3 linked regions of the Drosophila melanogaster genome follow. The protein of the gene in region 3 purifies or fractionates together with the protein of the main gene of each other region. This does not show direct contact. Each region holds a gene or a part of one and is shown on either strand. Other genes may lie near its edges.

What was found.
Region 1: the proteins of fra (region 3) and Abl purify together in Drosophila melanogaster (affinity purification with western blotting; 3 studies listed by BioGRID). This does not show direct contact.
Region 2: the proteins of fra (region 3) and trio purify together in Drosophila melanogaster (affinity purification with western blotting; one study listed by BioGRID). This does not show direct contact.

Annotation. Positions count from the first base shown.
Region 1 is NT_037436.4:16,641,301-16,651,936, forward strand, and holds the start of Abl (Abl tyrosine kinase), read right to left. Parts: upstream 6,583-10,636; 5' UTR 5,844-6,582; coding exon 5,510-5,843; intron 1-5,509. Other genes in the region: baldspot, read right to left, coding at 8,775-9,282, 9,833-9,955, 10,098-10,235. UniProt on the Drosophila melanogaster protein: Arm and Abl proteins function cooperatively at adherens junctions in both the CNS and epidermis; critical for embryonic epithelial morphogenesis regulating cell shape changes and cell migration.
Region 2 is NT_037436.4:1,029,502-1,039,948, forward strand, and holds the start of trio (trio), read right to left. Parts: upstream 5,375-10,447; 5' UTR 4,997-5,374; intron 4,565-4,996; 5' UTR 4,328-4,564; coding exon 4,149-4,327; intron 123-4,148; coding exon 1-122. Other genes in the region: CG9205 (uncharacterized protein), read left to right, coding at 5,873-5,960, 6,059-6,455, 6,531-6,720; bab1 (bric a brac 1), read right to left, coding at 8,821-9,732, 10,295-10,447.
Region 3 is NT_033778.4:12,524,739-12,535,394, reverse strand, and holds the start of fra (frazzled), read right to left. Parts: upstream 6,343-10,656; 5' UTR 5,669-6,342; coding exon 5,569-5,668; intron 1-5,568.

The sequences.
Region 1 (10,636 bases), on a different chromosome or scaffold from region 3:
AAACGTTTGGAGGGGCGTGGTCGCGGAAACGCTCCACTGGGAATGCGAAATTAAAATAATGAAGACGAGGGCACATTACATAAAACCAAAGTTAAGCAATCAACCGAACATAATGTCACATGAATGAGGAAAATAGACTTTAAAGTGATTGGGGAAATTATTGAAACGCTGGTGATGTCAGATTTATGATGATCTATGGCCATATAAACAGATCGTAAAGTTTTAACTTAAGTCACTGGAATGTCCGAGTTCCTAATAGATTAATTTGTTTGCACGAAATTTGATTGCAGCAATTTAAGTCCCGCAAAAATTCTTTGTATTAAGAAAAGCTGGCTATGCATAAAACTTTACCGTTATTTGAGCCACTGACAGCTGTTCGACGACTGTCTAATTGGAATTTGAACAGCTGTTGGCGCTACTTTGTTTTTCCCATTGGATTGACACACCCATATATGAAAGTGGGCGGGAGTGGGGAGCTCAAGAAGGAGGAGGAGGTCATATTAAGCAACTAGAAATGGAAGCGCACTGCTCTAAAAATAGAAACATAAAAAAAAACATCAAAGCGCAGGGCATGCAATCATCAAAAAAAAAACAAAAAGAACAAATAGAGGCCGATACCGAAAGAACATGGAGCACGAAAGGATTTACGAGCTTGATCGAGAACAGGAACATCCACAGAAACTATGTATGTATGTACATATACATATATATCTCGCCTGGTGAAATACCGCGCCAGAAAGGGATGGCGCACATGCAAAATAAACTCACGAAGAGTTGTGCACTTTGTTGCTGCCCTGGTGAAAGTCAGGGGCGCGGTCAAAGGTCAGCGAAGAGGGGGCGCCATAAAACAGATAGATTTATGCGCGCAAAAAGAGAAACAATAAGCACACTTTTTGCAGAAGAACCAGTGTACTTATATTTAATATTCAAGCTAAACCAATTATGTCAATACCATTAGTAATCGTAGAAGAATTTATTTCCTTCATATAACAAAGTACGAAGATTAACAATTTGTGAATTTACTGAAACTTTTTTAATGCTTATTCTATTCATTACATTTCATCATAATTAATTAAAAACTATTTACCCATAGATATTTAATTTTTTAACTCTCGTATCAACGTAATCTTCTTATTATTTGAAGACCCCCTTCGGTTCGCCATCTCAACTACGCCCCTTGATCAGCGACGACTCCTCCAACTTTCAATCTCTGTCAGCGCCAAAGGAAATTGTATAAAAACGACAATAACAACTGAAAGCATGGAAGATACACATTTCGTTTTGGGGCTAATAATAGAAGTGCAGCCGCGAAAGAGAAAAGACTTGTGGTACAAAGTGGTAATGGAGACAACGCCTTCGATATGGGGAACAACACCCCCCCGCCTTTCGCTCCCTCCCCCCTCCCTGATTTCCCTTTCTCTGAGTGCTTTATTATTATGACAATTATGTTTGAGCACATAAAATCATTGGGGAAATATTTATGCGACGTCTACATTATTCCGTTTGTTTTTTGGTTATTGAGGGGTTTTTGTGGGGTGATAGGAAAAGTCGAAGAGTAAACATAACTGCTCCTTGCCGCGTCACCTGTGTGCCACCTGACTGGCCCGCCCCCCGTTTTCTCGCCCCTTTTCCTACCAATTAGCCTTGTGAAAAGTTCATTTGCCCCGGCTCATAATTTGCCGCTTGCATGTCAGCAAAGTGAGACCAACACAACACTCGGATTTCCCTGCTTGTGCGAAAAAGATAGAGGAGAGTACACTGTACACTGCGAGAAAATCTGAGATGAGAGTTTTCAATGCTTCTACAGAAGGCTCAAGAAAATTTTGAAAGTTTATAATTTGGTTAAATTCTGATTTCAAAGTGGCATAATGTATTAGTTCTCTTGAGTTCCTAATGCTTACCGCTTACATTGCAATTCAGAATTACAATTAATTTACAATGTAGACATGCATACATTTTTCAAAGTGTAAAATGTATTATGGTCAAAATAAATTGCAAACCAATCCAGGTAACTGTAAATGGTTATCAAACAACACTTGTTAAATTCCAAAATATTTTGATGATATAGCAAAATGACTGGTTTCAAAATACAGAAAAGTTGTGGAATTTGTAAAACATATTTTCTTTTGCAAGTGCAGGGACAAACGCACTTTATGCACATTTTCTTTCTCCTCGATGGAAAGAGTTGTGGCTTCTCTCCCACTTGAGTCTATTTTTGAGTCGTCAACTTGCGTGAGTTGGTTGCAAAGTGGTGGCTACGGTGGCCCCGGGTTTCCAGCAGTGCTGCATTTGCAACTGCAATTGGCAACTCCATTGAGGCGTCTCCAACTGATTATGCATCTGCATCTGCACCGGTTCTATGGTATTTTCCCAGGGCGACACACAATCCAACAATCCCTTGGCCAATGCAACTGCCGCCCCAAAGTATCTAATTACATTGTATCGCATTACGACCAACAACAAGGTTATGAAATTGCAATTGCAATGGCAACTAGCACAACGCCTACGCCTTCTGAACATTGCTTTTGCTACGTCGTAGCTGGATTATTAGTCTAAAAAATGTCATATTAATTTCTTATCTTTTAAGAAGCCTTAAAGCACTGTAAAGCCTAAAGCACTGTAATAAGCCGAAGAATTTCATTCACTTTGTTTTTTATTTCTGTTACATTCTGTTAATTAGAGCAAGAGAAATTTATGCCATTTTTTAATTTTTGAGACTGCAAATTTATTTAAAAATCTAAAAATAATAGAGCTTTAACACCTTTGCTTGTATTTATTAAGTGCCTTAATTGTTTACTTGAAGATAACAATATGCACACAAGTTCTTAATACTTAACGATGTGTTTACTATTGTAATATTGTAGTTTCAACAATTACTTAATGGTTTTATCCCACTGTGCCTAGTTACGTGTGTGGTGGGTGGATTTAACTTTGATTGAGTCGGAGAAGCATAGCGCGACTTTCCCCCCAAATTCGCCCACTTAAAAGTCCGAGATCCACCCGGACTGACAATTGCGGTGAGTCCGGCTGGCTGGCTTTCCGTTTCGGTTTTTGGGATTTGTGCTGCCTTGTAATCTGCTGAGCCAGACACACCGTTTTTACATTGTAATTCTGTAATTGCATTTCGCAGGCCAGACACACGAAAAAGGCAATTGCAGGCCCCCATTTCGACCTTTTTGGATGATGAGACACACACAGACTCTGCTAGTTTGGCAAATAGATGTGCATTTTCGTTGGCGAATTTTCTGTGTTTTTCTGGGAAATAACACCGCACGAAGCTGGAAAATGTCGTTTGTTTGTTTTCCGATGATGGTCACATACATATGTACATATGTATTGCATCGCACGGAGCGATGACTCAATAGTAGCGTCAATAAATATTTATATGAAAACCGGCTTATCAGCGTACCAGCTGAGAGATTGACTGAACTTAATGCACACAATAAGCGACTAATTATAATAAAAATAGCATTAATTGATTACAAATTGCTTGGTGAGACGGAAGCCTCTGCGAGAGCGAGATAAGAAATGGCTTCCAGTTGAGAAGAGCAAGAAGAAAAATCTACAGCTTATTGTAAATCATCTGGGAAAAGTGGCTCAGCTTGGAGTGCCAAGGAAAAATCAATACTTTGGCCAAGCCATTCGTTTGGGAGATGAATAGTTTGCAAAAGGAAGTATTTACATCAAAAGTTAAAAAGTAAAATAATAAAGGATTAAATTTCAATTTTCGAACTTAAGCAAATTTATGGATTTAATACATTTAGGAACAGATTGTCGCGCGTGTAAATATCAAAACTCGGAAAAGTCCACTTTCAGTTTGAAACAGCTGTTGCGAAAATGGCTTGCAATTGTCAGGGGAATAAGGCAACACGATTTCAAGTTAAAAAACTACCTTACTATTAATACGACCCTCGTCATGTATTCTCATACATAGTTATGCTTTTTGTTAAAAAAAAAGTTCTACCACTGAGTCTGCGTAACTATTATAACCTGACAAATGTTTTTCCGGTAGTCTTGAGAAAATCCCGAATGCCACCCGATTGTGGGTCCTATTGTGGTAGGACTTCGTCGACATGGACATAAAAAAGCTATTAGAAACGGCAAATGTCTCCCAATAAGTGGGTGTGCGGAAAATGCGGAAACGGGGAGGATGTAAAGAAAAAATTATGCAGCTTGGCAGGGCAAATAATGGAAAAGTATTAGACAAAAAAATGAGGCAAATAAAAATGTGCGTGAGTGCGTGAAGGGCAGGAAAAATGCAAGGGGAAATGCGGAAAAGTGGAGGAAATGGCAATATGTCAGCGGGGGTGGGATAACGGTGTTGTGGGTCGCAATTTCAACCACTGTGCGGGTGGCAGGGATAAGGGTGCCACGAGGAAGGCCGAAGGATAAAGGATGATGGAGAGCACGAATGCGGATTGAAACCGCCCCAAGCAGCACAAAAACAACAGCAACGCGTGCTGCTCTCTCTCTTTTCTCTTCTCTCCTTCACTTTTCTTTCTCATTCATTCTCCTTCTCTCCAGTAAACAAAAGCAGCGGAAAAGCAACAACAAGTATGAAACTAGCCGGCAATAACAACAATAATTTCCTATATAATCGGAAGAAATGGAGGAAAAAAGAAATTGGCTCAATTGGAAAGCAGCGTATATAGAGGAAGGGCGGGGATCATAAAGAAGGAGAGAGGGGGAAAGGGAAAGCCGAGTGGACTGCACTTTATGAACAATAAATACAACACTGTGCAGCCCAAACTGGCAGATAAATCAAAACTTACATGATATTTACAAAAGAGATTTAATGGCAAGAGCACGCTTAAAAAAGCATTTTTTTATTGAAAGTACCCCCATTGAATAAGTTTTTAGTTACTGATTTCTTGAATGTCCTTAAAAACTGTTGTATGGAATATCAAAAGATTTCATCACGAATTGAAATGATTGTGGTGGATGTGAGATAACACAACTCTGAGCAATTGGCAATACAGCAACAACAATTTCCATGTATAATAAGAAAAGTCACAATACTATGATGGAATTTACACCTGAGTTTGGAGGCTGCATGCAATTTTTTACAATTAGTGTGTAAGTGAATGGGACCTCCAAATGTATGCATGTTTGTGCATCCTCTGACTTTTATATGTATGTTACACAACACTTATACAGATCGATTTGGTCCAGATGATTTCTACGATTGATGCCTTTTTAACTCAAACTACAATGTGCAAGAAAATAATTCTAAGATCCAATGTAAAAGAAGAAACACCAATGAGAAATAAGTCAAGCTTACAGAAATCGAAACACAAAATGATCAAACCACTAAATAACTTCGAATAGAAAACAAAATTTTAGTGCACACCTAATTTTATAAAAACGATTTTGATTGAGCGTGCACTATGTACAGACGTTTTTCGTTTAATTTGACTTAACAAGGCTTTCAAATTTTGAAAATATGCTTTTTGCTCTGTGTACTTAGCATGCTTTCGATGCCTGTTTTCCAACACTTGCAGGAACTTACCGTTATGCTCGGTGAATATGTTGAGACCCACGGTGGGATTGCAGCGTGCATCCTTGTGTCCGCCACTACGCTGGCTCAGCCCCGATCCGGATCCGCCACCGCCTCCGCCCGATCCGCTGCCACTGGCCACGCCGGAGGACGAGGACTTGATGCGGGAGCCACGGAGCGTGGAGCCCCCGCCGAGGGGGGCGCTGCTGACGCCGCTGGAACTGGAGATGCAGTGGGGGGAAACGGAGGCCACTGGGCTGCTGGAGAGGCCGATGCAGCTGACGGGGGCCCCCGAGCCGCCTCCTCCCGAGTGGGCGCCCCTGTCCTTGCCCTGCTGAGCCCCCATTTGCCAGTGGGTGGTTGGGTGGTTTTTCGCTCTTGCGCAGCAACAACAACTTGTACACTTTTCTCTCTCTTCTCTCGGCTCCTGCTGCTACGGCTTATTCGCTTACTACTACTACTTATTATTTGCTTTGCTTTTCTTGTTATATACTTCAGCTTTAACTCTTCTCTCTTGGCCTTTTGCTCAATTATTTGCCGTTTTGCCTTTTGCTTTGCTTTAATTTATTTCACACACACACACGCACACATTTTTCTTTCTCTTTCTGCGTTTTTGGAGTAGACAAAAAAGATTGGAGACACTCACGCACACACAGAAGTACACACGCACGGAGGAAAAAGGAAGTTTGCGATTTATCTGATTTGTTGTTCTAGTGGCCGCTCAGGTGCAATTGCGAATTTGCAGCATGTTGGTAAAATGTTGTGTCGGCAAACTTCTTGTCGACGGCTGGGAGGCTGGGTGAGCTTAACTGGCGAGGGGGGTCTCAAAAACACGCCCTGAAAATGCACTTTGTCTTGCGCCTCCGCCTCTGGCTTCACCTCTCTCTCTTGCTTACGCTCGCCTGCTCTGTTTTTTACGGTTTAATTGATCCGCAGGCTGATCCGCTGAACATGGCAAATTAATCGGTTTTCGCGACGATATAGCTCTATCTGATCTGCTAGCGTTGCTTGCTGATTTATCTACATCTGTGCATTTTTTCCACGCACCGCGACGGATCGAATTGGAATCCAACTTGCACTCGTGTGACCGCTTGTCGGTCGTTTAAACATACCCTACTTGGCAGCATACCGATAGACGTATCGATATTGATAATAAATGCTTAGTACTTACGAACGCGTTGGCAGCGCTAGTTTGGTAAGAAACTCGGCTAATGCAATATGATGGGTGCGCGACACGGACTGGTTGGGTGGTTAACTTAGCTTAGTAAGCCAGTGCTTAAAAACTCCATGATTGTGAACACTAATTTTTGGTTGTTCAAAAAAAAATTAAATTCAAACGTTTAAAACACATAATTTGAATTAAAAGAATCTTGATATAGCTTTCTAGGAAAAGTTTATTCTCTTTAGATTTTCAATGCAATGCAACTTATAACATTATCTTTAATTTTTCATGGATACACTTCGAATTTTTTCGACTATTGCGTCAACCCTAGTTTAGTTTATTGATTTTAAGAGAAAACTGACTCAAATCAAAATGTAATTGACATTTAAAAACATCGAATAATCAAGCTACGGTTTTTATAATATGCCTTTAGATGTATTCATAAATTCCCATTTAGCCCGACTAATAAATACAACTGCAATACTTTCCATCCTTTTCCGTTTGTTACGTTTTATTTATCCGTTGGTTTTGTTTAGCATTCTCAATCTTTAGTGTTCTTGCTTAGTTATTATTTAGTATGTATACCCGACAGAAATTTCAAGTTTGTTCGTTTCAATTTCTCTCTCCTGCTAGAGTTCAGTATCAATCGATCCTTCTCTCCATTCACACGATCCTCCTTCAGCTTCTGCTCCGATTTCATTTTCAGTTACATTTTCCTCGCTTACACTAAATTAACTTTTCAAGTAGGACTTTTGCTTTTCATTTTCTCGGTTTTGCTCTTTCACATGCGATCTCTTCTGTTCTGTTCGCTTACAAGTATAAATATAATTTAATTTTTCTCTGGTTATTATTATTTTACGTTCTTTTTTTTTTTTTTTTTTGTTACGTTCAAGGACTTTCTGTGGCTTTGTTAAGTTACCAAAAAGCAGCAAGAAATTTGAAGGAATATTCAAATGCATTTAACACAGGTTAACTAAATAAATGCCTTCCCCTAACAGAATCGAACTTTTTGTATTGCAGCATGACTGACACACTGGTTAAAACTATACTGACTGACTGGAATATATGTTAAAATTTCAAAAATATTTTATTGGTGACTATGACAATGCTTCGACTTAATCCAGTCAGTCAGCAACATTTTATCAGACGTCTTTTCGACTGTTATAAATATTGTTTGTTCTTACAGATTTGAAAACAGTTTATTACTTTACAATAACAATTTGCGCTCTGGATCTTGGAACAATAGACTAACTTAGTGTTTTGTTATTGGTTGGTATTCCGTTTTCACGTGTTTAATATTCCGTTAATATAGGTTTTTATAAATATATATGCGTATAGACTTAGAAGTACAAAGTTCTCAGACCCCAACTACAAGTGATTTTAGGAAAACAGTTCTCCAGTAAATCAAATTCAATTTCAACCAAAAATGCCTGTCGTTCAAGTATCGCAAACTGTGCGATATCCAAACTGAAGGCAGGAGTCTGATCCTTCTTGAGAATTTTAACTAAAATTGGGAGGCAACACAAAATTCCACCCGAGAGGTAAATTATAGCTGACAACGCAAATATCGAAATACATTCAGGGGCTAGTGGAAAACAAAACATTCATTTGGCGCATGTCAATAACACCGGAAATATAAATAAATTCTATACATCAACGACACTTCTAGAACTGCAGCTGGGAAATACATCGAGAGATATCAAGAGGAGTGACTATTAATTAAACGCATGCAAACTAGTGAGCAGCTAAATTCCTTGCGTTCCTTTCACATATCCCTAGAGAGATCTAGAGATTTCAATTCAAGCTTTTCATGCGCTCGCTTCTTTGCCCCTCAATTACATAGAGTTTATTCTGACTCGACTCTGAGTTTTGGTTAGCTTAGGTTCGTCTGTTTTTTTCTTCTTTTATATACATGTTCAGATATATGGTTCGTACGCCTGTCCACACGGTACAACTTTTGGCTTACAAAATTAAACTCTCATCCGACCGGTCGTGTGCCACCCAGGTTTAAAATTAAAAAACAACTTGTACACCGCTACATAAATAAAGGTCCTTAGCCGTAAACAGGGGGAGTGGTGATGATGGGAGTTAGGTGCTGGTGTGCCGAGCTCCGTTTTACTGCGCCTTGGCCTTGCGCAGATAGGCTGCCTGATCCTCGCCAGCGCCGATGAACTTGGAGCTCTCGCTGGCCTGCTGGGGGCTGCTCGACTGCTTGACCACATTCTGGGCTGCCAGGGAGGCGGCCATGCGCCGGCTCTTGTGACCACCGGGCGCCAGGTACGCCTTGTAGAAGAAGCGCGCGAACAGGACAAAGTAGCTGGAGTACATGGCGATCGACAGATTGATGTTGCGCTGCGAGATGTGACAGGAGGAGGTGCCGTGCGTCTTCAGGAAGCCATTGGCCCACACGTTGATCGCACATCCGATGATCATCTGAGCCAGCTGCAGCGACGTGATGATCATCGAGATGAACCTGGGCGGATTGAAGCGGGCCGCCTTCAGAGCATAGTAGCTGTACATCACCGAGTGCACGCAGTAGTTCATCACGATGAACCAGCGGGCAGAGCTGGTATATTCCGTATAGCTGAACCACGAGTAGATCAGCACGGTGATGTGGTGATACCTGTGAGCGAAAACTATTCAATTAATATAAAGTTCAAGTTTAGTTAATTGTTAGCGTTCTCAGGGAAACTACAATATATTCAAATCAAATCATTTTGATCAATCGAAACAGCTTATATCACAAATAATTCGCACCTTTTATTTCCTAACTAAGCCTAACATATAATTAACGCTAGTTTCATATGCCGAAATAACCGTCAGTGAATCTCATTAAAAGTAATTCGCTATGACTCATATGTATTGCTTCACTGCACCTATAAAACGTATTTTTACTGGTTTACTGGTGTTGCTTGTCTAGTGAAAGGGCATTTTTATCTTTTAGTAATAATAATATAAGGAAATTCTCTTTGATTGAACTTAGACAGCAGTATTCCTTATGGTACATGAGTACAAGTTCTAGCAGATGCCGCCACATGTGATGCAAATTGTCATCATAAGTAGCTTTTCTCCAAAGATGGAGCATATTGCAGGATGTTATATTATCACTCCATCTTTTTTGACTACTCTAAGAGTGGATCTTGGATGCCCAGTCAGTGTTTCGCTAAACTTACCAGTGCAAAAAGATGAGTGGCTGCTTGCGGAGCACAATGAATATCGTGTCGCCCAGCTCCGGCAGTTTGCTGAGCACGAAGAGCCAGGTCCAGAAGCCGCACACGCGATCTTGCTCGATGTAGCTGTGGGAGAAGGTTGGGAATATCGGTCAGTGATCGTTGATTTGCATATGGCAATCAAGTTTCCAGCCGCACAAGCAGGTCATGCGGACAGACAGGCACTGGAACCTGTCGATGCAAGGCCGATGGGGAGTTCAATACCAACCTGGGCACGCAGACGGAGTGGAAGAGTCCGTAGTGACGCAGCACGTGAATCAGCTCCGGCGCCGTTCGGGCAGCACCCATGATGCTGAACATGGCCAGCAAGGTGTTCCATATGATCAGCGGGCCGCGCAATTGGAATCTGCAATAAAAAAAAAAAAAACAAAAAGGAAAGGAAACTTTAGCCATGCAGGAAAAATACAGTGGAAAGGTACCAAGATCGCTTGAATTTGGGGTTTTTCCAGACAGCTGACTTTGCGCGCCTTAATTTATATAATAAATTTAAATATTCTAAATCAATTACGAATAAAAGTTAGCTTCGCAAGCTGGCTGATGACTTCAGAACAATTTTTATTTTTATTCCGACTCCCACACTTACCAAAAGCAAATACTAGAATATTTTACTAGTTGGCCCTTGAAATGAATGATGCATATTTACCCGGTGCCAATAATCGCGAAATTGCAGCGGAAAAAAAATCCCAAAAGATCAACAAACTCTAACGATATTCAATTTTCCATGCCTCCGTCCTAGACGAGCGTGAC
Region 2 (10,447 bases), on a different chromosome or scaffold from region 3:
TGTGGATATTCGCGCTGAAGTGCTCCTGCAGCACCTTCAGTATCGTCTTCACGTTGGTCGAGCAGTTGCCATTGCCTCGCATGTCAATGATGACTGTGAATCCGAGGTTCTTGGCGGCGTCGCTGAAAATAAGCCAGGTGAAAGGTGTGTTCGGTTAGAGAGAGCGATCGAAAGAGAACTAGGAGATAGTGTGGATACACTGGGGAAAGCTATTGCCTAGATTGGTAGATACTACATAGCACATATGTATCTTTTCGTAGTATCCAGTAAACAATCTATATTAACTTATGATAGGTATCTTAGAAAGTGTACTTGGTACTGCTTTCAATCAAAGTAAATGACTGGCAGGTGGCTAGAGTCTTTTTTTTTTTTTTTTTTTTGAGTGTAGTGTCTTCCCAGCAGTACGTGAGTGAGAGTGTCGCGGATCGCTCATGGTTCGTTGCTCTGTTTACGTCGCTTGCATAAATTAAGACGGAACGGCTGCTTCTTTGGTCTGGGGTCGGTTTCTATTGCTCTGACACCAATTTCAGCTAATAATTTCCTGCACACCTCGGCCTCCCAGAGCCCAGCCCGCCCAACGCTCTGATTTGCATTCCTTTTGAATTTTAATCGCTCCATTAACTATAAATATTTCTCTCATTGATGTGTGCGCAACTCCGCCTCCTCCGATATTCCGCCTATAGTTCCTATTATGCCCTCTGTTTCGCCGCTACTTCTTGGCCCGATTGTGGCCGGTTTCGAATCGTTCTAAGTTCCCGGTTTTAACCACGTTATCTTCTCGTGTTTATACATACGAGTATGTCGTGCGGTTGCTTGATGGGCATGGGCATTACTAGGGGTTTTGCCCCCGAAGAACAATGCAAAAGTGAAGAGGCGTCTAGTCTAGTCTCTTCGAATGCATTTTGGGTTCGAGTAAGTTTACCGCCAGCACGAAGCTCTTTGAGAATCCAGAATAATACTGGTGTTCCCAACGGTTGAACCCCATAAAAGTTCCCGAACCCGCCCGCAACCTCTTATCGTGCAACATATCTGGAAATTTTGGTGTATTTCTCTGGAGGGGCATGGGGCAACGTTTTGATGACTAATAAAACCCTCGAAACGGGCTATTAAAAATCGAAATTTAAGCCCAGACAGAGGGAAACGAGGACAGGAGGAAAAGTGTCGCCCGCATTCTAAAAAGTCGACCAAAAGAAACCAAACACAAAGTCCAATCAAAAATCGTTTATTTAACCCATAAATCCGAGGTTCCCTCCACGAAATACCCCCGAAGGAAGTTCAGGGAATGTACGTGTCTAAAATGCTGAGAACTCCCCCGATTCGCTCGATTCACGGAATTTGCATTGACGACAGCAGTAAGAAGACGCCTTGACTTCAGTTGCCAATTTGGCCGAGTCTCGGAACAGAGAGACAAAGGCACAAACAGGCGCAGAAATAAACAAAAAGTGTTTCACGCCAGAGCAAATAAACAAAAACCAACGCGAAACATAAACGAAGGCAAGCAAAACAAAAGGGGGAAGTTATGCAATTGGAATCGACGCAATGAGTACCCTTCACTTCTTTTCAACCCACATATCTTGGGCATAGTTTCTTAGAAACCATTGGTCACCAGTGGTTTTCTGCCAGAGATCTACCCCAAGAAAGGGTATAGGTATAAGAGGAGAAATGCACAGACAAAGCGCACAGTGGGCAGACTGCCAGAACGGACCGCAAATGCCGTGGATGGCGGCGATGAGATAAGGAAACCCCAGTACCATTTCGTATATTTGGAGCAGAGAGTATGTATGGACTACGACGTCGATTTGCTTATCGGCCGAACCTGAAGTGTGATTGCTTGTTTTCCGGACGGGGGGGATCCATTGAAATGTGGGACAGCGATAGTACAATGCTTTGCTTGTTAGCCGGCTGATAACTGATAACAGCCGAATGGGATGATGCGGCGGCGTGGGAACTCGGTTTGCAGTGATTCATCATGGCTGGCGAAAACTTGTTAGCGCTTCCATTGAGCAGCAATCAATCTGCAATCTTCCTATGATTGCGCCAATGAGCATGACCAAATAGGCGCGATACGTGTGTTTCTCCCTTTCTCGATGATTGGAGAATGTCAGATTTCATGCTCGCGCCCGGCGGCAGATACTATTTCTACATCTCATCAGATACTCTTGTCGTGTGTCGCAATCTCGGGTCGCCATCATCATCGACTCGAGGGTCTGATTATCATTTCGAGTCTGTTGCCGTTGGCAGCCATCTCGATGGCAGTTTCTAGAGATTCTCTAAGCCAGCGCTGCAAATGGTTGCTTTATTTGTCTGGAGGCAGGAAACTTTTAACTGGATATTTATCGTTGAGTTAGCCAAAACTATTGTTCAATCTAATTAAGCAAACAATGGATTTAGACTCGCACTTTTACTTTAAGCACACAGAGTGCTATAAATGTCTGCATGTCAGTGTTATCGAGGCAGCACTGTTCGCCCAAATTACCCTTTCTTTCTTTCTTTCCTCTCGTTTTACGGCTCATTTCGGTTTTTGTTGTGGTTTTTTTTAGTCTTTGGGGCAGCAGCAAAAAATATTCGCATTCTTCGAGTTCGGCTCTTAAAGACTTTGGAAGCCGGTCCCCGGTTTTGCCCATACATATGTATGTATGTATGCGTTTGTATCTGTGTGTTCTTTTGCTGTTTCTTCTTCTTCTCTGTTCTCGGTGCTTTCTTCGCCGCACAGATTTATGCAACTTTTGTTGCTGCTAGTTTTTATTGGAGAACGTTTACTTTTATGACTTTTTTAGCCCGCCATGGCCCTCTGTGCCACCCATTTTGACCCGCACTTCGGCGATTCAATGTCAACAGCAGCCAGCTGAGTGAGAGAGAGATGGGCATATGTGGCGAGAAAGAGAGGGCGAGCCAAGAACAATGTGCGTGCTGTTCTTGCAATCGTCGAACGATGATGATTCATAAAAATGCGACTGCAGGCGAACGACGACTATAACAGGAAAATCAAGTGGAATGTGGCAATGCAGCTGCAGCAGCTGCTCTCCCCCTCCTCCCCCTCTCGCGAGCACCCCTGCATCCTCCCCCTATTCAAAATATATATATATACGATATATATATGTTGGTGCGGGTGAGGCGACGACGTCGCGACTCCTCCGAAATTGCAAACGAAGCGCAGCCAGCGATGTCGCGACGTCAGCTGACACAATGGGTTGCCATTGTACTGGTACAGTAAGGCCCCAGTAACGCGAAACCGCAGCTGCGTGGTATTCGGAATTTAACAAGAGATCGAAATACAAATAAACTACATAACTAAAGATCGAAGATGCTATTTACAACGATTTCTAAAAGCTACAAACTCGTGATTAGTCTCCAAGCCGAAAAAGTTGTTTACTAACGAGAGTTCCCTGTGCTGTAAATACAAAATGCAGGAGGCCGGAGAAATTTGGACTTGTGCCGCCAAAGGCAACATTGCAGTATAAATATCTAAGAACTTGACGTTTTCAATTCATCTAAATTGTAACTAAAGCTGGCAGTCATGCAATCCACTTTGAGTGCACTTAACTAAGCTGGACGTTTTTAAAGAAAAGTTGATCAAATATACATATATAGAATGTATATGTCAAGATGAAAAGTGTAAAATTTAATTAGGTGCAAGATGATTTGGGTGAGTCATTATAAGTTCCAAGAATTTTCTATGCTTTATTTATAGCTCGTAAATCAAAAAGTCTATAAAAATGTAAATGTCTATGCTACGAATTAAGCCAATTAGTTTGTGATGAAATCTAGAAAAGCAACATATTTAAATGTACAAAATATGAAAATGGTCCTCTTTACTTTGCTGAGTGTTATCATATTATTGCAATTTTAAATTATTATCATGGCTAGTGCTTATCAAACAATAACTTAACGTAATAAAGTGCAGGCATAGATTAAGAATTAGCTGCACTCTTTTTTTTCTCGGCAATATGTTCATAATTATTTATCTTGCTGTATTTTAATATATTTATACTTCTACGTGTGCTTTCGTAATACATAGATAACATAAATATAGTTATAACATAGACAATTTTGAGATGGACGACCTTTGCCCAGATCCAATTGGATGTCAATAGAACCTAACTAACTAAATGGCTATTCCTATGTGGTAGTAGCAACTACATCCTCACCTGGGAATGCTGATCAGGTAGCTGAGGAGACGCCGCAGATCCTCCGGCTTGAGGCGATCGCGACGGGGCGTGGCCGGGAAGCAGAGGAGCGGTCCGCCGCGCCGGTCCCGTCCGCCCGTGAGGAAGACGACCCGTTCCTGGAGGAGGGTCAGGAGATCCCTGGCCCGCTGGCCGTCCATGCCGTCGGCAGGGGAAGGGGGAGGGGTGGTTAAAGCGGCCGGGGGTTAATCACTGGAGGGGTTAAACTGGGGGGTCTCCGCCCGTTTTTTAATCCGACGATGGGCACTGCAGCATAACGAATTCCAGCCTCGAATTTCACTTGTTTTGGCTCTGTTATTAGTTATTATTATGAACCGCTGCTTTTGCTCATTGATTTTCGCAAATTTCTCGCTGGCATTTTCATGGTCACTCTTTTGCTGTTGTGTTTGTGTTGTTGCGGTTTTCGTGTGTTTGCCCGTGTGTGCGTGTGTGTGTGTGGGTGGAAAATGAGTGGGGAAGCAGAGATGCAGATTAGCAATGGGTATTTCACTTGGTTTTCTAAATGCTACACATAATTTGCACACAATTTGTGTAGTTTTCCTATTTTTAGATGCAAGGAGTGGAGTTTTTTTCTTCAGTCACCCTCGCACTTTCGTGCGTGTGGGAGTGAGAGGGAGATACAAACAGACGGGCAAACACACACACTCGCATGGGGGTGCATACATATGCGTATGTGTATGTGGCATGTGCACACATGTATACATATGTACTCCCGTTAAATGTCATAAATCACACGCAGCATAAAAACATCAAATAGAACTCGCGCAGGCAGGCACACAAGTTGAAACATTATTTGGAAATATACACACTCAACACAACATTCGCCACTGCGAACGGGCGAAAATCCGCTATGTTTTAATTGCCTCAATTTGAACACAAACTCCAGACGTATATATAGCCTGTATATACATATGTATATGCTATGTATATCTGTATCATCACATCATCCGCAAGCAGTTCTCTTGCGTCTTGGCTCTTCTTCTTGCCACTGCTTGTGCCACCAAATTGATTTTTTTCACTCGCGCTGCTTTTGTTTTTCACACGCTTTCCCACCGGTAAAATCACCCAAGTTACCGTTGCACGCAGTTCGCGACTTGACGCGGGCTAAGCTAAAATTTTCATTTTTCAAGAAACCGCGATTTTACGAACGGGCGCTCTCTGTTTTGTTTAAACAAATTGGATTTTGCGAAACGACAAGTGTGACCAGATGCCGAAACGGCTTACAAACTGAATTTTCAGCCTTTTTTAATCGAGCACACCGATTGCGTGCCTCGATAGGTGTTAATAATCGATAGTCATAAGGCATCGCAATTGAGTAGAGTTTTTCTTAAAAAAGTCTACATAGTTACGCTCATGATTATCTCAAAATGATACCTATGATTAAATATTAAATATTTTGACTTTTTTTAAATAATATGTAAAAATACCAACTATCTACGATAACAGGCATCGATTGTACTACTATCGATGCTCGCCTGCTAGCATAAGCTCGCTGATACAACACTGTCTGTTGTTCATTAGCTTCCGTTTCTGCCGAGTTTTACCAAATAAACCCGAATCAAATTAATATACCTGCAAACATTTTACGCAAAATCAAGAACTCGCTTCGCCAGCGCAAGAAGAAGCACCGCCCACGGCAGGCCACGCCCCCAGTGCGCCCCGATCCCAAGGACGCCGCCGCCAAAATGGAGAGCAACTTGAACAGGATCATTCGTGAATCGGCCAAACTGAAACTCTGCGGTCAGCTCAGCAAATACACCAATGTGATGAAGGGTGAGCAAACTTTCACCTTTGGAGCAGCACCTTCAAGCTCTCCATCCCATAGAATCCCCGCTAGAACCGCTTCCCTAATCGCAGCATCCACTTTGCAGGATGGCAGTACCGTTGGTTTACGGTGGACGCCAAGACAGGATCGCTGAGCTACTACCTGTGCGACTCGTCGACGGTGGGCGACGACATCGCGCCCTCGCCCCACGTCCTGGCCAGTGCTCCCAGGGGCCAGGTGCAGCTGGCCGGCGCAGTGGTGTACCCGAGTGACGAGGACTCTAGGACGTTCGCCATCGCCTGCGCCTCCGGCGATACGGTAAAGCTGAGGGCCAACGATGCCAGGGCCCGTCAGGAGTGGGTGGATGGCCTGCGGGCGGTGGTCGAGAGTCACATGAAGGCGATGGACATCAGCAACTCGTCGCCGCTTCCTCCGCGGGAATTGCTTGCCGCCTCCGATGCCATGGTTTCAGCGCGCCAAGCTCTGTTTCTCACGGAACAATGGTAACTGCACAGTGATTCGTAGCTAACGCCGCATTACCTCCTGCAATCTATAAATCTATCCCCAAACCCTTCCAGCAACGCTTCTCTGGCCAGGGCCATCGAGAGCATCGACTGCGCTTCCTTCTCGCCAACGGATCCCGATCTTCTTTTGCTCAAGGCGATCTCCACGGCCAGCACCCAGTGCCTGCACCAGTGCTTGGGATTACTGCAACGCCACCAGGAGATCAACCAGCCGGTGGCAGAGGCCGTGCCTCTTGTGCTTTGAGAGATGCATGCTGCAAGGATAGTCTCCAGTTTCCAGTTTCCACTAAGATATGCCCAATAAACACTAAGCCAAACCGCAATGCAAAATCAAGAATCAAGATTCAAGACAACGGTTTGGTAAGCAATGAGAAGACTTTCAGGTTGGGTTACTTTTCAATGTTTTTATAAAATACTTTTTGTTCGTTTCGGTTTTCCGTTTTTAAGTTTTTATGTTTTTTGTTTTCTTCGATTAATTAGAACATTCATTTCGACATTTAAAGTTAATTTGAACATAAAGTTTGCACTAAAGTTTATAGAAAATGTTGAGTTTTGGACGTGGACTTGGACGCTGATCCAGATCGTACAAAGATACACAATATCCAGGAGATTTAGCCGCTAACTCTTGCCACTGCTTATATTACATCCTATTCCGAAAGTAATTCGTTAAGTTTCGATACGTGTGGGAACATCAAAGTCTATTGGGGGAACTGGGATTACATAGATACTTATATATCGTGTGTGCTTATATACGGGCTATGGCTATGGTAGATGTTCTTGCGTATGCAAAAATAGTCATGTTTATCATTATCATCGTAATTAACTCTTGTCCGATTAATCAATTGTGTGCTTGCCAAACCAAACGTTGCCGAAAGTATGCCTAAATGCCTAAAAGGGGTTTAAACCAAATAAAGAGATACTCATATATGTACGTTCTCCGATACTCAATCGTATCGTAATGTCGCCAGACTTGCCAAATAAATCCTCGAGTCCTGCCGCGAATCCTTGGCCTCGCTCTCGACCGGATCGGAAGTGGAGCAGAGTCCAAATTAAGGCTAGAAAAGGCACTTTAGAAGGGGATCTAGTGGGGATTTGGGTTGATGCGGGATCAATTCGGGGACTACGTTGGGTTTCCAATAATGTCGAAATCAGTGGCCTCGAGTTCGGCGGGAGCAGCAGCAGGGCTCGGTGTAAAAAATTGTTGCTTCTAAATTTTGTCTAAAAATTTCGATTGTATAAATACGTTAAAAAAGTTCACGTGTTTTTGTTTGTTTTCTTTTTACAAATTTTGTTTGCGGTGTATTCATCGCTGAATTTAATTCCGAAAGGCATTTTTTGTGAATTTCTTTGTTTTTTGTTAAGCCTAAACATTAAATTTAGTTGATTCCATTTGCGTTCGAAGCCACAAGCTTCGATTTCAATTTTTATTTTTTTTTTTTTCATTTTTAGATAATTTTGTACATTTTCTTTCTCGCTTCTCGTGAACTAAAGACTAAACCAAATTCGGGCACACAATTACCAAGTTAAATCCGCTTAAACTCTTTTGATTTTATTCCATTTCATTAATATTAAACTGCTTTGATTTGTGGATCATCCTGCTTCTGATTCGGTTTCAATTGAAGTTTGAAGTTGCATTCGAAACAGATTTCGAATGGTTTGTGGAATGTTCCGGGTTTGCTGCTTCCACCTTCGCTGTAGCTTACAACTAAAGAGATCGGTCGCTATTTAGTTAGTTAGTTAGACTGATGGACTATAACATAATAATACTTTAATTTTGATTCAGTAAGTACGCTAGGAATAGAAACTAGGTGGCGAAGATCGCGTGGAGGAAACTAGAGTAAAACTGGCTAATGCGACAGCCTACACCTTGGTTAACTACAATAGATTGCAATGTACACTTTTGATATGATAAACAGAACGTGGTTAAAGCTTATTTGTAAATTCGATTGGATATCAAGTGTAGGAATTGTTCGAGGTGAAAACGCAAAGATTTGGAGGAAACCTTCAAAACGTATATATCTAGTTTATTTACACATAATTATAATTTGAAATGTGATATATCATGTAGTTGGAAAGTAACTCGTTTACAATATGTGGATGCAATGCCTAATGCGGTTTTCTCGGGCCAAATTCAATCAATTTGCACTATGGGCATAAATCGGGGAATGCAGTTTACAGATTCCACGTATAATAAATAATATATAATTTAAATTAATTTAATTTAACCAAGGCGTAGGCTTACACAGGCCAAGTAAAGCTGCCGAAGCTTCTGATTTGCGTTCATTCACCCATTATCATTTCTCAACTTTATCATTTCCTTCGTTTCACCCTCCCTTTACTCCCTTTACTCGCTAGTGGTGGTAATGGGTTCCACCTTGATGCCTCCACTGCTCGAGGAACTGGGTGCATCCGCGCCTGTGGCTGCGGAAGCTGCTCCTGCCGATCTTTCCGGAGGAGCCGTCGCTGCCGCCGCCGATGATGAGGAAGATGAGACACTGGCGCCCACCAGCTCGGCCAGATCCTCGGCGAAGAGGCGGCTGGGCGAGAATTCGCGCTTGTAGCTGGCCATGTCCAGGCCAAGATCGCCGAGCGGGGAGTGCAGCCGAGGCGTTTCGCTGCGCAACGGACTGCTCTTGGCCTTGGGCGCATGGTGCTGGCCCATTGACGACGAGGAGGCTGAGGAACTGGAGCTGGCACCGAAACCGGACTTGTGGGCCACCTGATGGCCGCCCTGATGGTGCTGCTGCTGCTGCTGTTGCTGTTGCTGCTGATGGTGGTGCAAGTGGGCCTGTTGCTGCTGCAGGTGCAGCTGCTGCATGTGGTGGTGCGCCGCCTGCTGTTGCTGCTGGTGGTGCAGAGCGACGGCCATGCTGGGCGGCAGGTTCGGCAGGAGGCCGGCGGGACCGCAGGGCGAGGGAGCGTGCCTTGGTCCGGAGCCACTGCTCAGGGCCGGCGATATGCTGGCCCTGCCTCCAGCTGCGCCGGGAACGTTGCCCACTCCACCGCCCACTCCCGGATGAGGCGGCAGATTGAATAAGCCGGGCGGAACCGCTGCCATTTGCATCTGCTGGCGGATGTTGTGCGCCACGGCGGCCACCGCGGCGGCCGTTTCCTGTGACATATGCTGCTCTCCGGCCACGCCCACTCCGGTCTGCGGTCCACTGCCATTCGGACAGGCCATGGAGCTGGGCGCGCCTGCCAGGGCGCCACTGGCTCCGGGATAGCTGAGAGGGAGGTCCTGCAAGGGAAACGCGGGCTAACCCGAGAGCAGTTAGTTCGGTTCAAGAAATCCCCTTGAATGCAGTATATTTCGCAAAGCTTCACATTACATCAAATCATCAATATGAAGAAAACTCATGGGTAATCCCGAAAAAAAACTGAATGTAAGTAAAGGATTTTCGACCTTTTGACATTTTCGAGGAATAATAACTTTTAAGGAACTCTAGATTAAGGAAATACTGGAAGTACACTTTTAAAACTTATATAATATAAATTGAGTTGAAATTTTGCAAAAAAGGTATCACAAGCAAACACTATATTTTATAATAAGAATTTTAAGAATTTTAAAACCGATTAAGAAAGTCTCGATAAGAATGGCTCGTAATGAAAAAGGACTTCAATCTCCTGAAGCTGAAACTTCGCCAGATTTTTATTTTTTAAAATGAATGTTTATGTTATTATTCCACAAATAATGGACATTGTAGGCCTATTCATTTTTATTTCTTTAATTTAAAATGCAATTGTTTGCAGCATCAGTTCGTGAGAATGCGGAATTTGGCAAAGTCCGCTAAGCGAATTGTACTGCACTAATTACCTACCGAATGTCGACCGTAGGGTGGCATGTGAGCGGCCAGGCTCTCGTCCTTGATGTCCTTGGTGTCGCGAAAGACCACCGTCTTGATGACGCCCTTAATGTGCTCGTCGGGCCAGATGCCCAGAAGGATTCGCTGCGGCCTGCCACGCCCCTTGGG
Region 3 (10,656 bases):
AAAGCAATCCACGTAGTCACAAATCGCACTCAAATGATTTCATGTTGTTAACTCTGAAATTGCTCACAAAATATTGAAATAAGTAAAATCAAATAACATTCTAATAAATAGCAAAAAGTACTCAAAGTTTCTAAGAATATTACTTAAGTGACGAATAAAGTGTGAAATGGTGAACTCATGAAATAAACAGTTGCTGGTACGATTTCTGGCAATGACACTAAATGACACACTTAGTTTATCTCCATTGTTTTAGGAATCTCCGGATCTGGAAATCCCACCCACTGTACCACTCTCCTCCACCAAAACTGAAACTGCAACCACACGACTTCGACAACGACGTCGACTACTGTGGCTGCAGACTCGTACTCGTAAGTGGTATAAAGTACGTGCATTTTGTAGATAATAATAAAATAATAGCAACGGCTGCTCATTCAGCTGGAGTCGAGAGCTAGCTGGTCGCGTCTTGGCGCTTGGATCGCAACCGAACCTAACCGAACCGAACGGAACGGATCGGATCGAATTGATTCGAATCCGATTGGATACCATTGGATCGGAACAAAACGAAGCTGGTGACTTGGTCTTGTGGCTGTTGTAACAAATTACTTTTGGCTGGGCCCGTCCACTTCCCTGCTTCGCTGCTTCCCTGATCTTTGGTGATCTTGCCCAGACAATGTCGTCGCCATTGTAACTGCTCGTTTTTCATGTTCTATTTTTCTGCGGCAATTGCAGTCAATAGATTAGCTCTACAGATAATTGCACAGCGAAAATCGAGTTGCTTAAAATATAATAAAAAAACTAAGAAAAGGTTAGATCTTTATTTGTGTTAGCTTTTGTTACTCTTCCTATGTGTAGTTTTAAAAGTACTACTACTAAGTTCCGATGACTTCGAATGAACCATCGAGGTAAACGAAGGTCTTAATCTCTTTGAAAATAACTTTCATGCTAGACCCGACAATCAGTAAACTTATTTTTCCAAGTGAAAAGCGGCCAGACAAAGGGGAGGGGGTGAGCCGCAGATGGGGCAGGCGCTTTTCCGTCGCCAATCAAGCGATCGATCTACTTTGAGGCAGCCATGGCCACAGTTTATCGCCGACCGGCGACTGCATTTTGTTGACCGATAAGTCCGAAGGGGGTTAAGCATGGAGAGCAGCACGAGTGGGCGGCAGGGGGTTAAGCACGAGGCGAAGACGGTGGTGGTGGGGGCTCGTGGTCGTCAGTCAAGTAAGTTCCAAAGCCAAGACCAACTTCATTTGCTTGCCAACCAAAGCGAGCGACTTTTTCAATTAATGTAGCCCATGGGCACGCGAAACCTGAAACCAGAAAATGCAAGAAAAACAAAAAAAAAAAACACCATAAAAAAGAAATGCGAGCCCGAAGAAGCGAAGATGCAAAAGGGGGGCTGGTGAAAAAACAATGCAAAAACTTTGTTTACTTTGCCAGCCTGTCTTATCGCTCGCTCCACTGGCCACAAAATAATTACCGAAGCCAGTTCCAAGCTCCCCACCTCAAGTTAAGAAAATCATCCGGTAGAATTGAGTTCTTTTGGCCAGGGCGTGGCGACCAGCCCATATCACAAATCTCGGGAGCCTAGAGAGCTAGAGAGTACCCATGGTAACCATGGTACCCCATGGCCAGCACTTTGGCACTTCGACTAAATGACTGCATTTAAAAAACTGTTGCCGACTTCCGTTTCGGCCGTTTCACTCCTTTGGCATCTGCTCGAGGTGATTAAGTGCGATTCGAGGCGTGGAGGCAGATAATTTCTGATATTTTATAGCCCCGCTGGTGTGTATGGAGTCGGGAATGCTAAATGGGCAAATGGAGGAGCTCCGTCCGTCCAAACAACCAACCAACCAACCAGAGGTGTGAGATTTGCCGTTTAGGCCCGTCCAGGCCAGGCTTGTTTTAACGGCACTTTAAGCCACTCAGCCGAACAAGTTAAGTACGAAATGATCGTTTTTTTTTCTCAAGTGGGCTGAATGCCATTTCTTCGCTGGAATCTCTAGCCGTGTCCTTCGCTGTAATGCAGTGGCCCCACCTACGGATCACCCACGCAGACCTATGCAAATAGGCCCTAATCCTTGAGGAAACGCCCCCGCAAAAGGTACAGTGTGCTAAATGTAAAGCGAAATACATTGTTGCCCAGATGCTTTTATGGTCAGAATGATTTCCTGTAACTGCAGCCAGATCTTTTCTCTTTCTTGCAGATTCTCCAACGAATCTCCCTTCCTTACTTTAGATTGGTCTAAATCTGGATTTTGAGGTTGCGTGCATTGAACTTTTCGAACATTTCGGGTTGCAGAATCGGTCTCGGCTTGTTGTTGTTGTTGTTGTTCTTGTTTTGGTGTTTGTGGCGGGTTCAAGTGAATTATTCATGTTGTCATGTCGAATCGGCGGAGGGTGGGTAGGTCCGGGTTCGAAGCTGCAAACGAAATTGCATTCTGCCAACGCAGCAGAAGTTACACAGACAAAAAAGTGCAGTTCGTTTTTATCAGCAACATCACTAACTTATTTTCATTTTTTAATAGAAATGACATTTTTTTTCTTACTTTAAACCATTTGATTTGGTTAGTGTGGAAATTGTTTGTATCTTAACCTATTTTTTTCGGTGTCAAAATTGTGCCGACTCTTGGATATCTTTGTTTTTCGGTTTATTTGGTGTCGAATACGGTTCCTCCTGCTGTTTTCCATAAAAATTCCAGCAACATGAGTTTCCCCAAGTATATGCAACATCTAAATTCTGTTTTTTTTTTTTGCCTCCTCTTGTAAGGAAAACAAATATAACACAACATTTTTAATTAAATGACAAGACCAACTTTTGTTAAACCAAACTTCATTGGCAAAAGTTTATGTGCCGGAACAGAAGTTGTCATTGTTGGCAGATGAAAAGCCTGGCACAATGCAAATCTCTTGAGAAAGAAACCGAAGAAGACATCTCGCAGCGACCATCAATAAGTGCCATAGAAGTGAGATATTTCCGAGTCCTTCAAGCGACTCTTAGTCATGCATATATGTGTGTACATACATCTATATGGAGTATACATCTTAAGAACCCACAACCTTCGAAAGACGAACAATTTCCGGCGCTTTGTCAACACTTCAGAGTGACGTCCGCGTTTTAAACACCATTGAGGGACTTCGCATCGGTTCGTAATTAGTCTGCATTCAACGGAGAAGAAGTGACCTCATTCGAGTCCTCTAAACACTCTCTCCCCGACCGAATGTTCCATTCCTTTCTTTTGTCACATTGCGACACAGAGCCCCGGGGCTATAACCACCATATGGAAATGTTTATTTTGACAAGCGCACCCTCGGAACGAGCGGAAAAAATGTGTCCAGGAATATGAAAAGGGGTGCGAAATTAGAATAACATGTCACTCATATATTGTATCACGTAATGCGGCTAAATGTGCTCCTGGCCACGGGAAAAAGCCAGTGAACGCCAGGGTGAGGCGACTCGCCCAGGACAACATCAAACAATTGCCACAATTCACGGGCTAAAGAGCGAGGAAATATGACCAGGAAAGTGAAAACACAGAGCGCCACAAATAAGCACGAAAATGGGAACAGGACCTCGCACGTGAGTTTTTCGTACACGGTATAAGTAGGATCCTTCTATAAAATCAACTAGTTTGTTTAGCAAGATAGAAAAAACCACAAGGGTGTCTTAAGGCCACATAGATCTAAAGATCAAAATAAATTATTAAAATGCTTTTCTATAATTTAATTTAACTAACACGGAAATGTCTAACTTTGTCTTACTTTCATAGTATCTTATCAACCTTAATTGATGCATTATTATACGGTACTAAGTGGTCGTGAAGCCACGTGAGTCCATTGTTGTCACACAATTCTTTTCAGCTAGTTACACCCATGTAAGTAAAGTTGTTTTCTTTTTTTTTTAATTACATACCCACCACATAAAGCTTGAAGTTATGTGAGGGAATGCTTTTAATTAAATCTGGCATTAAGTCCTGCGACTTATGACATGCCATGACCTAAAAATTTGTTCAAAGATTTTTCATTCCATTTGCATATGACATGCCCCGACAATTTTTTACGACCGCACTTTTTTTGGGGTCCTTTTTCGGGCTGTCTTGGAGCTGGCGTTGATAAATTTTGCAGCTGATAAGGCGGCTCCCCGTTTTTCCAGGACACTTTTCACTTTTAGGGGTGGCTTTTCTTTCTCGTTTCGAAGATGGCGCAGAGACGAGATTCACGGCAGGACATTTAATTTGTTTGCATTATTTGCGCCTTTTGCGGGGATTTCCATTATCCCTCCCTCATTTTACGCGATTGTTTATTTCTCCAGCCGAAAATGGAAATATGATAAGCCTCTAAGCCACCCCTGGCTTAGTTTTCAAACCAAATCAATCAATTGATGCATTGTGCAGCTGCCCACCGATCTTGGGTAATCTTCTTCTGGGACCTAAAACTGAAACTGTGCCTGATCCTAAAACCTAATTGCATTTTGGGCTGCACTGGTTCTACCTGCGCTTACCTACCTGATCCCCTAAGATCACTTGTTCCCTGGCTTTGAGCTAATGATAATGACTCTTACGGCTACCATTTTGTTGGATTCTATTTCTTCGATTTCAGAATACTTTTTCACAGGAAATCGTGTTTGTTTTGGCTCAAATAATCGCAAACAAGTGCGTTGGTTTTCAATTCATGTTGTGCAGTGTTTAGTTTATCTCGTTTCAAGCGAAGCTCATTAGTAATGTTTAAGTTTTGAAGCACTATCGGTTTCGCAACCATCCCATTTTGAGTTCTTATCTGCAGGTGATATGATGGGAAGCAATTACGGTGAATTACCCCGGGTGATTGGCACATGTGGATGGAATAGGGCAGGGTTTTTGAAAGTACCTCAATTTTACGAGTGCAAAAAGAGCGCGAGTTGCGAAATATGACAGCTTATCGGATCAGTTCGCCGTTGACATCACCTTTCGCACATGAGGCTTTTTTTTTTTTGTGGGTCCCAATGCCTGCTTTCTGGCACGTCGACCAGACATCCAGTCGCCAAAACTGTACTTGCATTCATATTTGTTAAAATACAGATATCGAACTTTATGGTACCCGAATACACAACATAGATAGGGAATTGTACGAAGAGTAAAGTAACAGATAGTGTCATAAAATATGGTGGATGAGTGTAGTGAACTAAAAATTACTGGGCTGACAAACCACGTAGTTCATCTATTCGTACTATTTAATCGTAATATTTATTGAAGTGATATAAACTCATCTAATCTACCGAATTTATACACTGTTTTAGATTATTTCCTCCTGTCAGAAGGCAATTAAGGCGCAGCCCAAGAATTAAAGTTCAATCACATGTTCATAAAATTTTTTTTATATCTTTTATAATCTCTTTAATAATCTATATATGTACACAATTTGATAATGTCTTTCTGTGTAAGCAACTAAGCTTGGATTTCATGGGTCTTTGGTTTAAAATTATAAATTGACAACCTGCACAGCGAAAGATAGAAACTATCTACATTTTTATAAAGCCCTCTTACGGCACTTTGGTGCAAAATATTTATCATTTCAGATTGAAGTTCTCACCTTGACTTGCCAAACTGCTGCCAATCAGCTGGAATATGAGACAACTGCTGAGCAGCCAGTTCCACAAAGTCCTGCTGCTTCTGTTTGTTGTGATGGCCATATTCTGTTTGCTTTTCGCTGATTTGGCTGGAAACCGTCGTTTGCGATCGGAGGTAATTCGAATGGCTCAGGTTTATTTGGACTTTTGCGATTTGTTTACAACATTTTGGCTCTTGATACCCGCCAATCGCCGATTGCGCCTTCTATTTGTATCCTTTGCACCCACACATACACGCGACGCAAACACTCACACGCGACTTTTACTCACTCCACTTTTGTTGTGTATTCTTGGGCGATTATTGCTTTCGATTCTCTTGTTTTACGCTATTCGCATCAATCGTTTACGCGTTTTTGTTTTGCCGGCATTCGCCGCCTATTGTTGTTGTTTCAGGTCTTGTTGTTGCTGTTATTGCACGCTTGCAAGCGGGGCATTTTTACAACAACAGAAAATACTATCAACAAATTGCGCACACACACTCGAGTAAGTAGCGTTGTCTCGCTCTAACCTTCGGCAGGCATCAGGACTTGCAGCTGCAGTTCTATTTAAAACACATTTTCAGCGGCTGTATGTATTATTTGAGTGCCTTTTTCATTTATTTTCGATTTTGGCTGCACTTATTTTAATTTTCTACCTCTTTGCGATGGATTTTACTATTGGCAAACGCGTTTTCTCGCCACTAAAGAGTATACATGCGCGCAACGACCTCGACGACCGAAAAAAAATCCGAAACTGTCGAAAAAATCCCTAGCTGCGCGGGTGATGCGAAAACACATCCGCTATCGATGCTTATCGATGGTCTCACTACTATCGATGACGATGAAATGACTTTCGCACCATGTTATTCTTGCATATTATAAATTCATTATCATTTTACAAAGGGGTTTCCATAAGTAACGTAGTAATCAGTGCTCAGCTTTCTTACTAACGTAATCATAATATATTTTAATGACTGTCATCGACATTGAAAAGCAATCGATACTGGAGTGCACATCACCAAAAACGCGTTAAGGTCAGTTGAGCAATTTATTCCAAATGGCGCGTAATTCAAAAGTTAGGACCAAAGTCAATTACACATCAAAAGCAACAAACATTATTATTTCGAGGACATTTGCAGTTGGGATATTAATCATATGAATTTATATCGGTATTCAAAAGGTTTGCTCCTATATTTTTAAATATTTTAAAATTTCACATATTTTCGGTTTTACTTTACACAAATTTCTTTTTATGAGAGTCACAGGAGATTAATACTTAAAAATTTTAATGGCTTTCGAAATGTACCTCAACTTTCTCCCCGACTGATCTTGTTCATAAGTACGTTATTTCAGAAAAATCCTTTGACAGAAAACTTTATGCTCAAACCAATGGGAAAATCTCCTGTTTGAAATGCATTTTTTGCAGTTGGCCAGTGATTGCCACCCCCGAGCAACCGACGTGCAGACAGGTTGTGGTTAAAAGTTGTGGCTCTAAAAAAATGCATGTGGCAAAGGAACACTCATTTTAAAAGCGCCGACCAGCAACCAGCAGGAACTTTAAAGGCTGAAAAAATGAACATATCACTTTTCGCCTCGGAGAAATGTGAACGCAATAAAAAATCCGACCAAGGCCGACAAATTGTTGGTTGGGCGTGGGGTGGGGGGCGTGGCGTTGAAATGATAAATTTCACATTAAATGCCAGCGCTTAAGCGAAAGCGTCGTAAAAATAAACGACGGGGTGAAAAAGAAGGGGGAGGCATTTTTTTTTGGACTGGCAGGCCGCAAAAATAAGTGAAATGAAATTCCCTTCATTAGCGTATCATCCGTATGCCCACAAAATGTGGGTCAAGTTTCGAGGACTTGGATCAAATTACCAGAACCGGAGATTTTTCGCTGCTAATTGCAGGTTTTTTAAAAGCAGCACACACATTTCCCCACCAGACGCCACTGCAATTTTCAGTTTTAATTAATCCGAGCTACCGAGTCTTTCGAGTATCCGTATCTGTATGTGCATCCGCATCCCTGTATCTGTTATGCCAGCTTGAAGTTGGGCAACTTCTGGGCACCCACAAAACGCGGCGACTGATGGTGATTTGGATTCTGATTCGGATGTTCTTCCCATTCAAAGCTTTTAGGTGCCGACACGAAAAGGCGCTTAAGTGAATTAAGCCTGTGTGTGGTAATATATAAATTAAGGCATGCACTTCGGACATGGAAATTGCTTAAATATATAAAAGGTTCTCTCGTTTAACTTGGCAAATCCATTGTTCATGGCACTAAAGACTTTCACTGCAAATCGCTTCCTAAGAAAGTTGTTAACTTGGGTAGAACTAATAAAGGCAAAGATTTTAAATCCAGAGCCATTAGGAAGTTCAGAATATTTGCTTAAGTGATACTTCATGAGTTATGATATTCTGGAAGGGATACAATTAAGTTTGATTTTAAATTAGGTATATAGATAGAGTTTAAAGTACTTTCTGTTAATAAAAACCTGATTAATCAGGGCTTACTATTATTAGTATGCATTTCCATCACTTTGATTGTCAGTCGGCTAAAATAGTTGGCCATTTCCCGACTTAATTGGCGGCGACAGGCGACGCAGGCAGCAAATTGCGACGCCTGGCAGCAACAACAATGGCCAGCAAACCGGTGAGAGAGAACAACAACAAAGTAAGTTAAATTAAGTTAGCGTCGGCAGACAACAAATCTCGGCTTGTGTGCCTGTCCATATGCCCATTGCGCATAAATCAAAATCAACTTGTAAATTTAATATGTCGCTGTGTTTTTCTTGTTTCCACTCCTTTTTTTGTACCATATTTTTTTTTTGTGGCGCTTGCCAGAGATTCGCTGATGATTTATGCTGATGTATTTTGAGCGCCAACGAATTGCCGAGAAAATACAACAAAAAAAGTGTTGGGGATTACAGAAAAATAATCAATTGAATGTGCAAAAACTAGAGAGAACGCTTCGATTGGGTGTCTCGACAATCAGATACCCCTTAACTAGCTAGTAAGAGTGCAAGGGAGTACAAGAAATAGGAAAAAACTCTTTTCCAGATTGCATTTATTATAATTGTAATTACCATGTGATTCTGATCATTAATATTCATTATTACTTCATACTTCATAGGGTCGTAAACTGTTACTATTCTACGAAACTAATATACCCTGTTATGCAAGAAAAACAGAAAAAACGAGTTGTGGCTAAAAATTTAATTAAATCGAGTTCTTACAAGAACACAGCAATTAAAGAAAATTTTAAAACAGTGTCAAAAGCAAAATTGCATTATAAATAAGTGATCAACTTAAGTATTTTTCTGTTAAAGCAACCTAAGATGAAAAAATGTAAACATAATTTAAAATATTTATATATATACCTAAAAAACATTAAATTTAAAAAATCATTAAAAAGATACTAAGTGAGAGATTTGCTTATAATCAATCATTGTGTATGCATCATAAAGAACTTATTTATTTTCTTAGAAATTTCCGTGTAAAAATATGCAACGCGGGAATATCCAACAAAAAACAACAATATAATTGTCACACATTAAAATTAATTGGAAATATCTTCGTGAACCTGAAATCCAGTCTATGCGTACTAAATTATGCTAATTTTGGGAACTGCTGACAGTTTGACACTTTTTCTTCGATGTCTTGATGTGGATCTGGGTCTCGGTCGTGGTTGTAAATTGTGGTCATGAGTTAGAGATCTGTGGAAAAGCCAGACGAAGTTTTCCCAAGGAAAACAAATATTTTGTGTGAGGTGGAAAAGCATAAGTGGAAACGAACGTGAAATTAGGTTGCTTTTAAAAAGAGGGGGGCTTTTTGAGTGGGTTGGAGGAACTCCAGTGGCATAAAGAGAGCCAAGTCCAAAACCCCACCAAGTGCAAGTATGATGCATGTGGGGCTGTCTCAGTTTTGAGTGCAGGGAGCAAAATAAATGAGTTTGTCAGCCGGCAGCGACATGATTTGATAATTGGTTTTAAAAGAAATTCGAAAGCTGAAGTTGCAGTTGCAGTTGTGGGGAAAAAACAGGAAATGGAAATAGTTTGGCATTTCAGTTTTTTGACAGTGAAAAGATAAGTTAACTTTTAAAAGCCAATTGCAGAAGGCGTTTGGGTCATAAATGCGTAACATAATAATTTGGAATTTTAAACTGGAGTTTGAGTTAGCCAATCAAATTAAGAAATATGATTGAATGGCAAATGTGGTGCAAATATTCTTTATAGCTTTGACCTATACTTGCAACTTGGGTTTATGACCACAAAACTTTTGGCCAATGACACTTGAGTGTTGGGTTCCGCGAAATTGGCTTAAAGAACAAAAGGAAATGACTTGACATGGTCGCCAGGCTGACTCACAGATGGCGGATCAGAAGTTTGGGCCTTTGGGTGGGGCAATGTGGGGCCACTCACCCGGATTGCGAGTCATTTAAAAAGTTCGATGCGGTTATGTAAGACCGTGCCCCCCTACCAATTCCAAATGACGCATATTTGGGAAAAGGAAACATAAAATCAGCATAATTCCCGACACTTTGTGACCAGATTTGTGACTTAATTCCCGAGTGGCTAAGTGACACATCTTAATTACGCACAAATTTCATCACAACTCTCAATGGGCATCCATCCGTCTCCTGGGCGCCCATAATAGACTCATTAACTTGCATTTGGCTGGCTAGGCTGGTAAAATGCAAATCTGCTCGTTTTGTGCAGTTTTATACCTCGTGTGCTGCATGCTGCATGTTGCATGCTGCTCATCGCTCATTGTTGTCGTTGGGGCGTGCAGTTGCACTTGTCGGTGGCCATAAATTAAAGTTCTGGCTCCCCCTTATGGTGGGAAATATTTGTCGCATGCCAAAAATTGTACAAGCGACAGCATTTTCAACATGTTGGCGGCAGAAAATGCATTTCATGGCCTGTCTGGGCTGCAGGATGCCCCTTTTCCGAATTAAATCCCAGCAGCTGTTGCCGATGGGACAGGATGGGTGGGCGTCTGGCCAGGAAAGCATATCCTTGGCAATGGTCAGTCAAGTTCAAGGCAAGGCTAAGGATAAAAAGGAGCGGATGCAGT